Xenopus tropicalis: one gene and its partners. The protein of the gene in region 3 purifies or fractionates together with the protein of the main gene of each other region. This does not show direct contact. Links are inferred from orthologs where the notes say so. Each region holds a gene or a part of one and is shown on either strand. Other genes may lie near its edges.

Region 1 (3,738 bases), on a different chromosome or scaffold from region 3:
TTCTCCACTCTGACCCCTCTTCTCTCCCATGTTCCCTCGCTCTGACCCCTCTTCTCACCCATGTTCCCTCGCTTTGACCCCTTTTCTTGCCCACATTCTCCACTCTGACCCCTCTTCTCTCCCATGTTCCCTCACTCTGACCCCTCTGCTCTCCCACGTTCCCTCGCTCTGACCCCTCTTCTCTCCCACGTTCCCTCGCTCTGACCCCTCTACTTGCCCACATTCTCCACTCTGACCCCTCTTCTCTCCCACGTTCCCTCACTCTGACCCCTCTGCTCTCCCACGTTCCCTCGCTCTGACCCCTCTACTTGCCCATGTTCCCTCACTCTGACCCCTCTTCTCTCCCACGTTCCCTCGCTCTGACCCCTCTTCTTGCCCACGTTCCCTCGCTCTGACCCCTCTTCTCTCCCACGTTCCCTCGCTCTGACTCCTCTTGTCTCCTGCGTTCCCTCGCTCTGACCCCTCATCTCTCCCACATTCCCTCGCTCTGACCCTCCATCTCTCCCACATTCCCTCGCTCTGACCCTCCATCTCTCCCACATTCCCTCGCTCTGACCCTCCATCTCTCCCACATTCCCTCGCTCTGACCCCTCATCTCTCCCACATTCCCTCGCTCTGACCCTCCATCTCTCCCACATTCCCTCGCTCTGACCCCTCATCTCTCCCACATTCCCTCGCACTGACTCCTCTTGTCTCCTGCGTTCCCTCGCTCTGACCCCTCTTCTTGCCCACGTTCCCTCGCTCTGACCCCTCTTCTTGCCCACGTTCCCTCGCTCTGACCCCTCTTCTCGCCCACGTTCCATCGCTCTAACCCCTCTTCTCTCCTGTTTCAGGTTGCCAAGCAGGAGGAGTTCTTTAACCTGTCCAGTTGCCAGCTGGTGAACCTCGTAAGCCGGGATGAGCTGAATGTGCGATGTGAGTCGGAGGTTTTTCACGCCTGTATAAACTGGGTCAAATACGACTGTGAGAACAGGCGGCCGTACATTCAGGCACTGTTGCGGGCGGTGCGGTGCCACTCCCTGACGCCCAACTTCTTACAGCTGCAACTCCAGCGCTGTGAGATACTCAAAGGGGACTCTCGCTGTCAGGACTACCTGTCTCAGATCTTCCAGGACCTTACTCTCCATAAACCCACTCTGCCTCTCCAGGGGCGCATCCCCAATGTCCCTCAGTTCATTTACGTGGCAGGAGGATATTATCGGCAGTCCCTCAGTTTTCTCGAGGCTTACAACCCGGTCGACGGGGAATGGCTGACCCTGGCTTCCTTGGAGATGCCCAGGAGCGGCCTTGCAGGTTGTGTTTTGGGGGGCCTCTTCTATGCTGTGGGAGGCCGAAATAATGCCCCCGACTGCAATAAAGACTCTGGTGCCCTGGACTGCTACAATCCCATGAACAACCAGTGGTCACCATGTGCTGCCATGAGTGTGCCTAGGAACAGGGTAGGCGCTGGCGTCATCGACGGGCAGATCTATGCAGTGGGAGGATCTCATGGATGTCTCCATCACAACAGTGTGGAAAGGTGAGCCTATTCAGGGTGCCAGGATCACAGTTGGACGGGTGGTCATTGCCAGTGGGTAGAATGGGGTCCTAAAGGGGGCAAGGGTGTTTAAAAGAATTTTACTGCAGGGCCAATGTCCGCAGGGCTTGTAATAAATTAGCCTGCAAACTTTGGCTAGTGGGAGCCTTCCCCGTACTGTATCAGGGCCTGGGACTGATTTGCACCGTGTCAGCTTGTTCTCTCACTCAGGGACCGTGGTTATGCACAGTGTATTTAGGAACAGCCGCTCAGGGCTCTCTGTAACCTTCTCCGCCCACTGGAAAGCCTCAGACTTCCAAACATAGCTGTAGGCTCTCTCCAGGTCCTGGCACTGGGCTTGCAGTGTTTATACGTGCGGGTACAGTGCCAGCTTTCTGCTGAGTAGAACCAAAGATTTATGGCCAGAAAAGGCCATGCAGGGCTGATTGTAGAAAATACATTCTGGTACGTCCTGGGGTTGAGGATTGTGCCAGTTATACAGCTAATGCCAGAATAGCTCTGCCCTGGGGTAAAAATAGACATTGCTGGGCCCAGCTATTATTTATAAAGTAGGACTGTCAAACTCATGGCCCTACTATACCTGCTATCCCACAGCCCCAGTCCCTTCCCAGAGGCTATTATCCCACTGCTAATATAGGCACCATCTCTCCCTACTATACCTGCTATCCCCCAGTCCCTTCCCAGAGGCTATTATCCCACTGCTACTATAGGCACCATCTCTCCCTACTATACCTGCTATCCCACAGTCCCTTCCCAGAGGCTATTATCCCACTGCTACTATAGGCACCATCTCTCCCTACTATACCTGCTATCCCACAGCCCCAGTCCCTTCCCAGGGGCTATTATCCCCCACTGCTACTATAGGCACCATCTCTCCCTACTATACCTGCTATCCCACAGCCCCAGTCCCTTCCCAGGGGCTATTATCCCCCCACTGCTACTATAGGCACCATCTCTCCCTACTATACCTGCTATCCCACAGCCCCAGTCCCTTCCCAGAGGCTATTATCCCCCCACTGCTACTATAGGCACCATCTCTCCCTACTATACCTGCTATCCCACAGCCCCAGTCCCTTCCCAGGGGCTATTATCCCCCCACTGCTACTATAGGCACCATCTCTCCCTACTATACCTGCTATCCCACAGCCCCAGTCCCTTCCCAGAGGCTATTATCCCCCCACTGCTACTATAGGCACCATCTCTCCCTACTATACCTGCTATCCCACAGCCCCAGTCCCTTCCCAGAGGGTATTATCCCCCCCACTGCTACTATAGGCACCATCTCTCCCTACTATACCTGCTATCCCACAGCCCCAGTCCCTTACCAGAGGCTATTATCTCCCCACTGCTACTATAGGCACCATCTCTCCCTACTATACCTGCTATCCCACAGCCCCAGTCCCTTCCCAGAGGCTATTATCCCACTGCTACTATAGGCACCATCTCTCCCTACTATACCTGCTATCCCACAGCCCCAGTCCCTTCCCAGAGGCTATTATCCCCCCACTGCTACTATAGGCACCATCTCTCCCTACTATACCTGCTATCCCACAGCCCCGGTCCCTTCCCAGAGGCTATTATCCCACTGCTACTATAGGCACTATCTCTCCCTACTATACCTGCTATCCCACAGCCCCAGTCCCTTCCCAGAGGCTATTATCCCCCACTGCTACTATAGGCACCATCTCTCCCTACTATACCTGCTATCCCACAGCCCCAGTCCCTTCCCAGAGGCTATTATCCCCCACTGCTACTATAGGCACCATCTCTCCCTACTATACCTGCTATCCCACAGCCCCAGTCCCTTCCCAGAGGCTATTATCCCCCCCACTGCATCTCTCCCTACTATACCCAAGTGACTGATATTTGTACTACATAGTGATCGCTCAGCAATATTGGCACACAGGTGCTTGCAGGCTTTGTTGGAACCTTACACACCTTTCCTTTGCTCCCAGATATGACCCAGAGAGAGATGAGTGGCACATGGTATCGCCAATGAAGACTCGACGAATCGGAGTGGGAGTGGCCGTACTGAACAGGCTGCTGTATGCAGTTGGTGGGTTTGATGGAACAAACAGGCTGAATTCAGCAGAGTGTTATTATCCAGAGACAGACGAGTGGAAGGACATTGCCTCTATGAACATTGTGCGCAGTGGAGCAGGTAAGAGGCTTAAATATCCCATAAAAGCTTCATTAAGACC
Region 2 (2,523 bases), on a different chromosome or scaffold from region 3:
GGGGCAGCCGTTCAAAGGAGAAAAGGCACAGGTTACTTAGCAGATAACAGATAAACCCCCATTATATGGGGCTTATGTACTAGTTATCTGCTATGTAACCTGTGCCTTTTCTCCTTTTTTCCATCTTGAATGGCTGCCCCTGGGGCTACACAGCAGCTTATTTATATAGTAGCTTTTCTGTAGCAAAAACACCAGTTTTTTGCAGAGCAACAGCACATTATATTTTAATTACTTTAAAACACTTTAATTTTTTGATGTTACTGTTCCTTTAAGAAGCTCATACCAGGAAGTTGAAATGGGGCTAAATTTCAATTTTATTTGCCCTTTTTAATTCAAAAAATGAACCACTATAGATACTTCTTTATTAAATCAATAGGCAAAAGGTATGTTGGGCATTAAACACAAGTTTAAAATTCATGTTTTTTTTTTTTTCTTCCATTGTTATTTCAAATTACATTTTTTTTGTTATAGAATCATCAAGATGCCAGATTCTACCAACCTCTCCCTACTTGGCTTCGGCGACATCTTTGCTCTGCTGTTTGACAACCATAACTTATACATAATGGATTTACGGACAGAGAAACTGATCAGCCGCTGGCCTCTGCCGGAATACAGAAAGTCCAAGAGGGGTTCCAGCTTTTTGGCGGGGGAAATAGCCTGGTTAAACGGCCTAGACGGGATGAACGACATAGGTTTGGTCTTTGCCACAAGCATGCCGGACCACAGTATCCATTTGGTGCTGTGGAAGGAGAACGGCTGAGAAGGCGAGACGCGGGCGCCGGCTGATTTTAACGGAACGTTCAGACGGATGTTCCAGAGACGAGTTCGGGGAGAATGCCATGCATGAACCAAAGTTTCTCATCTTGTCATGCAGTGCACAATCATCGTTTATCTTCCATTTCTCTGGGTCGAAAAAAGGGGAGTGTTTTATTTGTGAACCAACCAGATTGCATGCCGGCGGGATCTCACCGTAGCGTTCCACCAAACACTGAAACGTATCTGTCTACGCCAGATAGGACTCAAGACGCCGCCATTTTTAACCTCCACCGCTCCTTACGCCCACCCCTGATGCGTTCTGGATAAAAAGGAATTTTTTTTTAAAAAAGGCTGGTAAAATTGACCAGGAAGTTGCAATAATAAAAGAAAAGTCACGCTCTCTCCATGCTACAACCGTGCTATGTATATGTCAGCCTTCAGGATTGTTTATATATGTAATCTATTTTACTACGGAAATAGCTAACGCATTTAACAATGTAAAAATGCACCGCGTAGAGGTAGAGTATTCCGGAGCTTAGAGTATTCCTGTTTGAGCACTTAGGTAGTAACAATACATAAGACTTAATCAAGGAGGATACGTTCTTGTTGCTTTGTATTCTGCTTCTCCGAACCTTTAAATGGAAGATATAACCTACTTGTAAGTAGGGAACGCTGTCCCTTTAATTGGGGGGAAAAATACAAATACAGGGGTTAATTCAAAAATGTTTTCAAAATGTGGGCCAGTTTGGTAGCCCATAGCAACTAACGGGTGCAGTAATGACAGCTTGTTGTTATGGGCTACATGACTGGACCTTTATTTAACCATTTATATGTGCATTGTTCCCTTTTGTTTATTTTATCTACTGATATTTTAACAGGACAATTTCCCCTTTTTTTTTTTTTTTTTTTTCTTTTAATTTTGGTTGTCAAAGACTTTTCATTGGTTCTGTAAAATACCCTAGTGGGACAGCCTATAATAAGCAGTGAGGGTATATCCGACAAGCCCTAGTCTAATGTTACCAAACAGCATGTAAATGTATTTTAATACACAATGAATATACACAACAACAATACAAAGTCTTTTTTTTGTTTTTGTCTTTTTTTGTTAAGAATAACAGTGATTGGTTCAAATCAAACTGCATTCGGGGCTCTGAATAAAGCAGAACTATGACAAATACTATGTATTTCAGACCCTTTTAGGAGATGATGAATTACAATACTGTGTAGACTGTCATGGGAGTAACTGTGATTTTGAGTACAGGTGTGGGACCCATTATCCAGAAAGTCCCGAATTACGGAAAGGCTGTCTCCCATAGACTCTATTATAAGCAAATAATTAACATTTTTGAAAATGATTTCCTTTTTCTCTGTAATGGGATCAAGTACAGGTACTGTTTTATTATTACAGAGAAAAGGGAATCATTTAACCATTAAATAAACCCAATAGGGCTGTTCTGCCCCCAATAAGGGGTAATTATATCTTAGTTGGGATCAAGTACAGGTACTGTTTTATTATTACAGAGAAAAGGGAATCATTTAACCATTGAATAAACCCAATAGGGCTGTTCTGCCCCCAATAAGGGGTAATTATATCTTAGTTGGGATCAAGTACAGGTACTGTTTTATTATTACAGAGAAAAGGGAATCATTTATCCATTAAATAAACCCAATAGGGCTGTTCTGCCCCAATAAGGGGTAATTATATCTTAGTTGGGATCAAGTACAGGTACTGTTTTATTATTACAGAGAAAAGGGAATCATTTAACC
Region 3 (3,600 bases):
GTAGTTTGGAGTAGACAGACAGTTTTAACCTATTCTCCATTCCTCAGAATCTGTTCTTTCCAAAAATGTATAATTTTCTGGTATAAACCTTCTGAAATGTAGGTGTTAAAATCTTAAGTATGCAAGCTTTCTGGAGCAGTGCTTTGGAAATTTGGTAGGTAGTGTACCGCTGGGAATTTTTGAATCACACAAATGAGAAATCGACATAAAACTATATATATATTTGGTGCTGGCACATTCAGGAGACATGGGACTTTCCGAATCAGTTGTATTTTTGTGCATAAAATCATTTGTTTCTTTTATATGTGTTTATATTACGGAAAACGTGTTGTTGTTTTTTTGTTGTTTTTGTTTTTTTTAATCTTTTAGACATTAAGAAGCCTATATCTTGTTCCAGAATTGGAATCACACAAAAATTCTACCATATTTTGAAATCTTAGGTCGCCCCCCCCCCCAAAAAAAAAAGATATATTGTTTTCCTGTGTAAACTAAAAGTCCCCCCAAGGAAAGGCCCTAAGAGTGCAAAATGTTTCAAAACAGTCTGGCAATACAAGTTCTGCTTTGACCAAATCAGCTGGCAGTGAAAGGGTTAACTGTTCAATACAGAAATATTTTGCTTAACCAGAACACCACAGCCCCTTAGTGAATACGAACAGATGAAAAGGCTAGCTTGCTTAAATCTGTACATTTTACTTCCCTCAAGGAGCATGTGCCTACGCCTTTAAATAAATTCTCTCCAAGCCTGCAGACCGCAGCTCTTCCTCGTTACCGTCTTCCGCCCCCACACACATTACTAACACGCCCCAAACTGTGCGCCTTTAATGCTAATCACATGACCAAGGCATCAGCCCAGCTTTCGGCGCATGCGCCATATAGACCCGGAATTTCCTCTTTTCAAAATGGCAGCCGCAATGGATGTAGACACACCAAGCGGAACGAATAACAGCGCTAGTAAGAAGCGCTTTGAGGTTAAGAAGGTAAGTGTGCTTGCTTGCGTATGTTATGGATGTAGCAAATGATCAGAACAGTCTTTCTAACTAATACTTAAAGAGGGCGACAGTGCAGCAGCTGATACTATTCAGCTAGATTGCTTGCGCCCTAAAGCTTTTTAGATGTTTGATTGACGTGTTTTCCGCCGAATCAAATGTTAAACCCTAATACTTAGGGCGGTCCGTTTTGGCAAAGCGGTGATTTCTGTCGTTCCGGCGGCCCAATAGCGGATAGCTACTGATGCCACAAACGATTGGATGAATTCTAACCAATGTAAGTGCCCCTCTCAGCTGCACTGGGAGGCGGGATCATGTAGCCGCACTTCACGAGTTTGCGGGGGAGCTGTAGGGCCACAGACATTGCGTGGTCTCATTTGCTCATTTGTTTCCCTGGAGGAGGCAGGGAATGTGTCTTGGGCTTTTAGCGGTGTGAGAGCAAGAAACGGGGCTATTTGATAAAAAATAAATTGTTGAACAAGTAAATGTAGGGGTCAAATGACTTGCATTTAGCACATGTAGGGGTATATTAATCATGCTGTGTAAAAAGTGGAGTGAAGCATTATCAGTGGTGTTGAGCTGGGTAACCAATCGGCTATTAGATTTCAACAGTTCTGATTGGCTGCTATAAACTTCATCGGTGATGTTTTACTCCACTTTTTGCACAGCATGATATATATACCCCTACGGTACAGGAGCTGTGAATATGCATTCTCACAGCGTGATGATTTTGCCACCATAGTTCTGCAGGGCATGGTGTGTTTAGCTTACAGTATCAAACATGGTGTATGTGCCATTGTTGGTGTATGTTGCCATTACAGCCTCCTCTCCCTCAGACCCTGCATACCCTATACTTAAAGGAAAACTATACTCCGAAACAATGTAGGTCTCTAAATATGTATTGCATATACAAGCTCATATGTAAAACCCTACTTCATCCAAAAAAGCCATTCTCATATAAATATACTTTTTTTTGTAGTATGTGCCACTGGGTAAGCCTAAATGAAGGCTGGGGCCAACTGGGCTTTTTCCCCAGTGTCCCGTAGCCCAGTCCAACCCTGATTAACAGTGGCTTTCTTTCTTCCACTACTGGGCAGTATTTGTTGTATTTATAGCCTTTCCAATTTCAGCCACAGAGTTGTCATGGGTCTCTTAGTGACCTTCTACATTATTCTTCTCCTTGCACATTCACTCTCTTTTCGTGGATGGCCTGTTCCTGGCAGATTTACAGCTATGCCATACCCTTTCAGTTTCTAAATGATAGATGTAACTGTATGTCCAGTTATAGTTAGAGACTTGGAAATTTTCCTATTTCCATCCCCCAACTTGTGCTTTAAATCACCTTTTTATGGAGTTGCTTAGAGGGTCCTTCTCCCTTCATGTTATAGATCAGTTATCCCCAACCAGTGGCTCATGAGCAACATGTTGCTCACCACCCCCTTTAATGTTGCTTCCAGTGGCCTCAAAACAGGTGTTTATTTCTTAATGTCTAATTTGAAGGCAAGTTTTGTAGGCATAAAGACCATCTGTACTGCCAAATAGTCTCCTTTATTCTGCCAGTTTGCATTGGGCTACCAAATAACCAATCACAGCCCTTATTTGTCACTTTTATCATGATTGTGTTGCTCCCCAACTTTTTATATATTTTTTTTTTTTTAATTTGAGTGAATTAGTGAAAAGTATATGTTTATGGTATAGACACTTTATTTGTTAGAAATAAGCTCCTGATGGAGCTGTTGTATACAGTCTGACCTGAGATTACTGTTAAAAAAAAAAAAAAAAAAAAAAGGGGGGGGGGGGTCATCAAGACGACACTCTTATCCAGCTCTGTGTGAGGCTACATGTTGAGGTAACAGGGTCTGCCAAGCATCTAGGCCAGAGGCAGGCCAAGCCGACCGGGCACCTAGGCAACCTGGTCGGCCACCTTACCCCTGCACCCTCCCATGCATAATACCCACGTGCAGTGAAGGAAATGACAAGTTAGTGCAGACTAGGGGGAGGCAGGAGAGGTACCTGTCTGGCACCCATTATTCCGGCCCTGATCTAGGCACATTGATATTGGTGCCTTCATTGAGCCACATTTGGGCCACGTTTAACCATTCCAGTAAGACTCCAAAGCCATTGTCTGGTAAAACTGGCTAAACTAGTAAATCGAACATACCGGTAATTCTATACACATGAACCAACTTAGAGCAGATTGTGCTAAGTGATTAGATGAGTTTTAAAACATATTTAATTTATTGCCAAAATTTACATCACTTTAACTTTTTTTTCTTTTTTGTTGCAGTGGAATGCAGTTGCCCTTTGGGCCTGGGACATTGTAGTGGACAATTGTGCCATCTGCAGGAACCACATCATGGACTTGTGTAAGTTTCCTTAATTGAACTTTAGCCGATAAAACAACTGTTGTCTGTAAGCAACATTTTAGTTAGTCCCAGTGCTTATATATACATTTATCTTTGAAAAAGTGAATAACCCCTTTGAATGGTACAAATGCAGAAAATAAAAATAATCCTCTTGTATCTTCTAGGCATAGAGTGCCAAGCAAACCAAGCTTCTGCTACTTCTGAGGAATGCACTGTGGCATGGGGTGTGTGTAATGTAAGTAGCTTTG

Evidence for each region.
Region 1: the proteins of rbx1 (region 3) and keap1 purify together in Homo sapiens (affinity purification with western blotting; 6 studies listed by BioGRID). This does not show direct contact. The link is inferred for Xenopus tropicalis from reciprocal best matches to the Homo sapiens genes RBX1 and KEAP1.
Region 2: the proteins of rbx1 (region 3) and fbxw2 purify together in Homo sapiens (affinity purification with western blotting; 3 studies listed by BioGRID and IntAct, with this or other methods). This does not show direct contact. The link is inferred for Xenopus tropicalis from reciprocal best matches to the Homo sapiens genes RBX1 and FBXW2.

Annotation. Positions count from the first base shown.
Region 1 is NC_030679.2:138,040,363-138,044,100, reverse strand, and holds part of keap1 (kelch-like ECH-associated protein 1), read left to right. Parts: intron 1-833; coding exon 834-1,519; intron 1,520-3,492; coding exon 3,493-3,698; intron 3,699-3,738. UniProt on the Homo sapiens protein: Substrate-specific adapter of a BCR (BTB-CUL3-RBX1) E3 ubiquitin ligase complex that regulates the response to oxidative stress by targeting NFE2L2/NRF2 for ubiquitination.
Region 2 is NC_030684.2:8,637,447-8,639,969, reverse strand, and holds the end of fbxw2 (F-box/WD repeat-containing protein 2), read left to right. Parts: intron 1-471; coding exon 472-760; 3' UTR 761-1,836; downstream 1,837-2,523. UniProt on the Homo sapiens protein: Substrate-recognition component of the SCF (SKP1-CUL1-F-box protein)-type E3 ubiquitin ligase complex.
Region 3 is NC_030680.2:115,969,955-115,973,554, reverse strand, and holds the start of rbx1 (E3 ubiquitin-protein ligase RBX1), read left to right. Parts: upstream 1-854; 5' UTR 855-863; coding exon 864-977; intron 978-3,273; coding exon 3,274-3,352; intron 3,353-3,516; coding exon 3,517-3,587; intron 3,588-3,600. UniProt on the Homo sapiens protein: E3 ubiquitin ligase component of multiple cullin-RING-based E3 ubiquitin-protein ligase (CRLs) complexes which mediate the ubiquitination and subsequent proteasomal degradation of target proteins, including proteins involved in cell cycle progression, signal transduction, transcription and transcription-coupled nucleotide excision repair.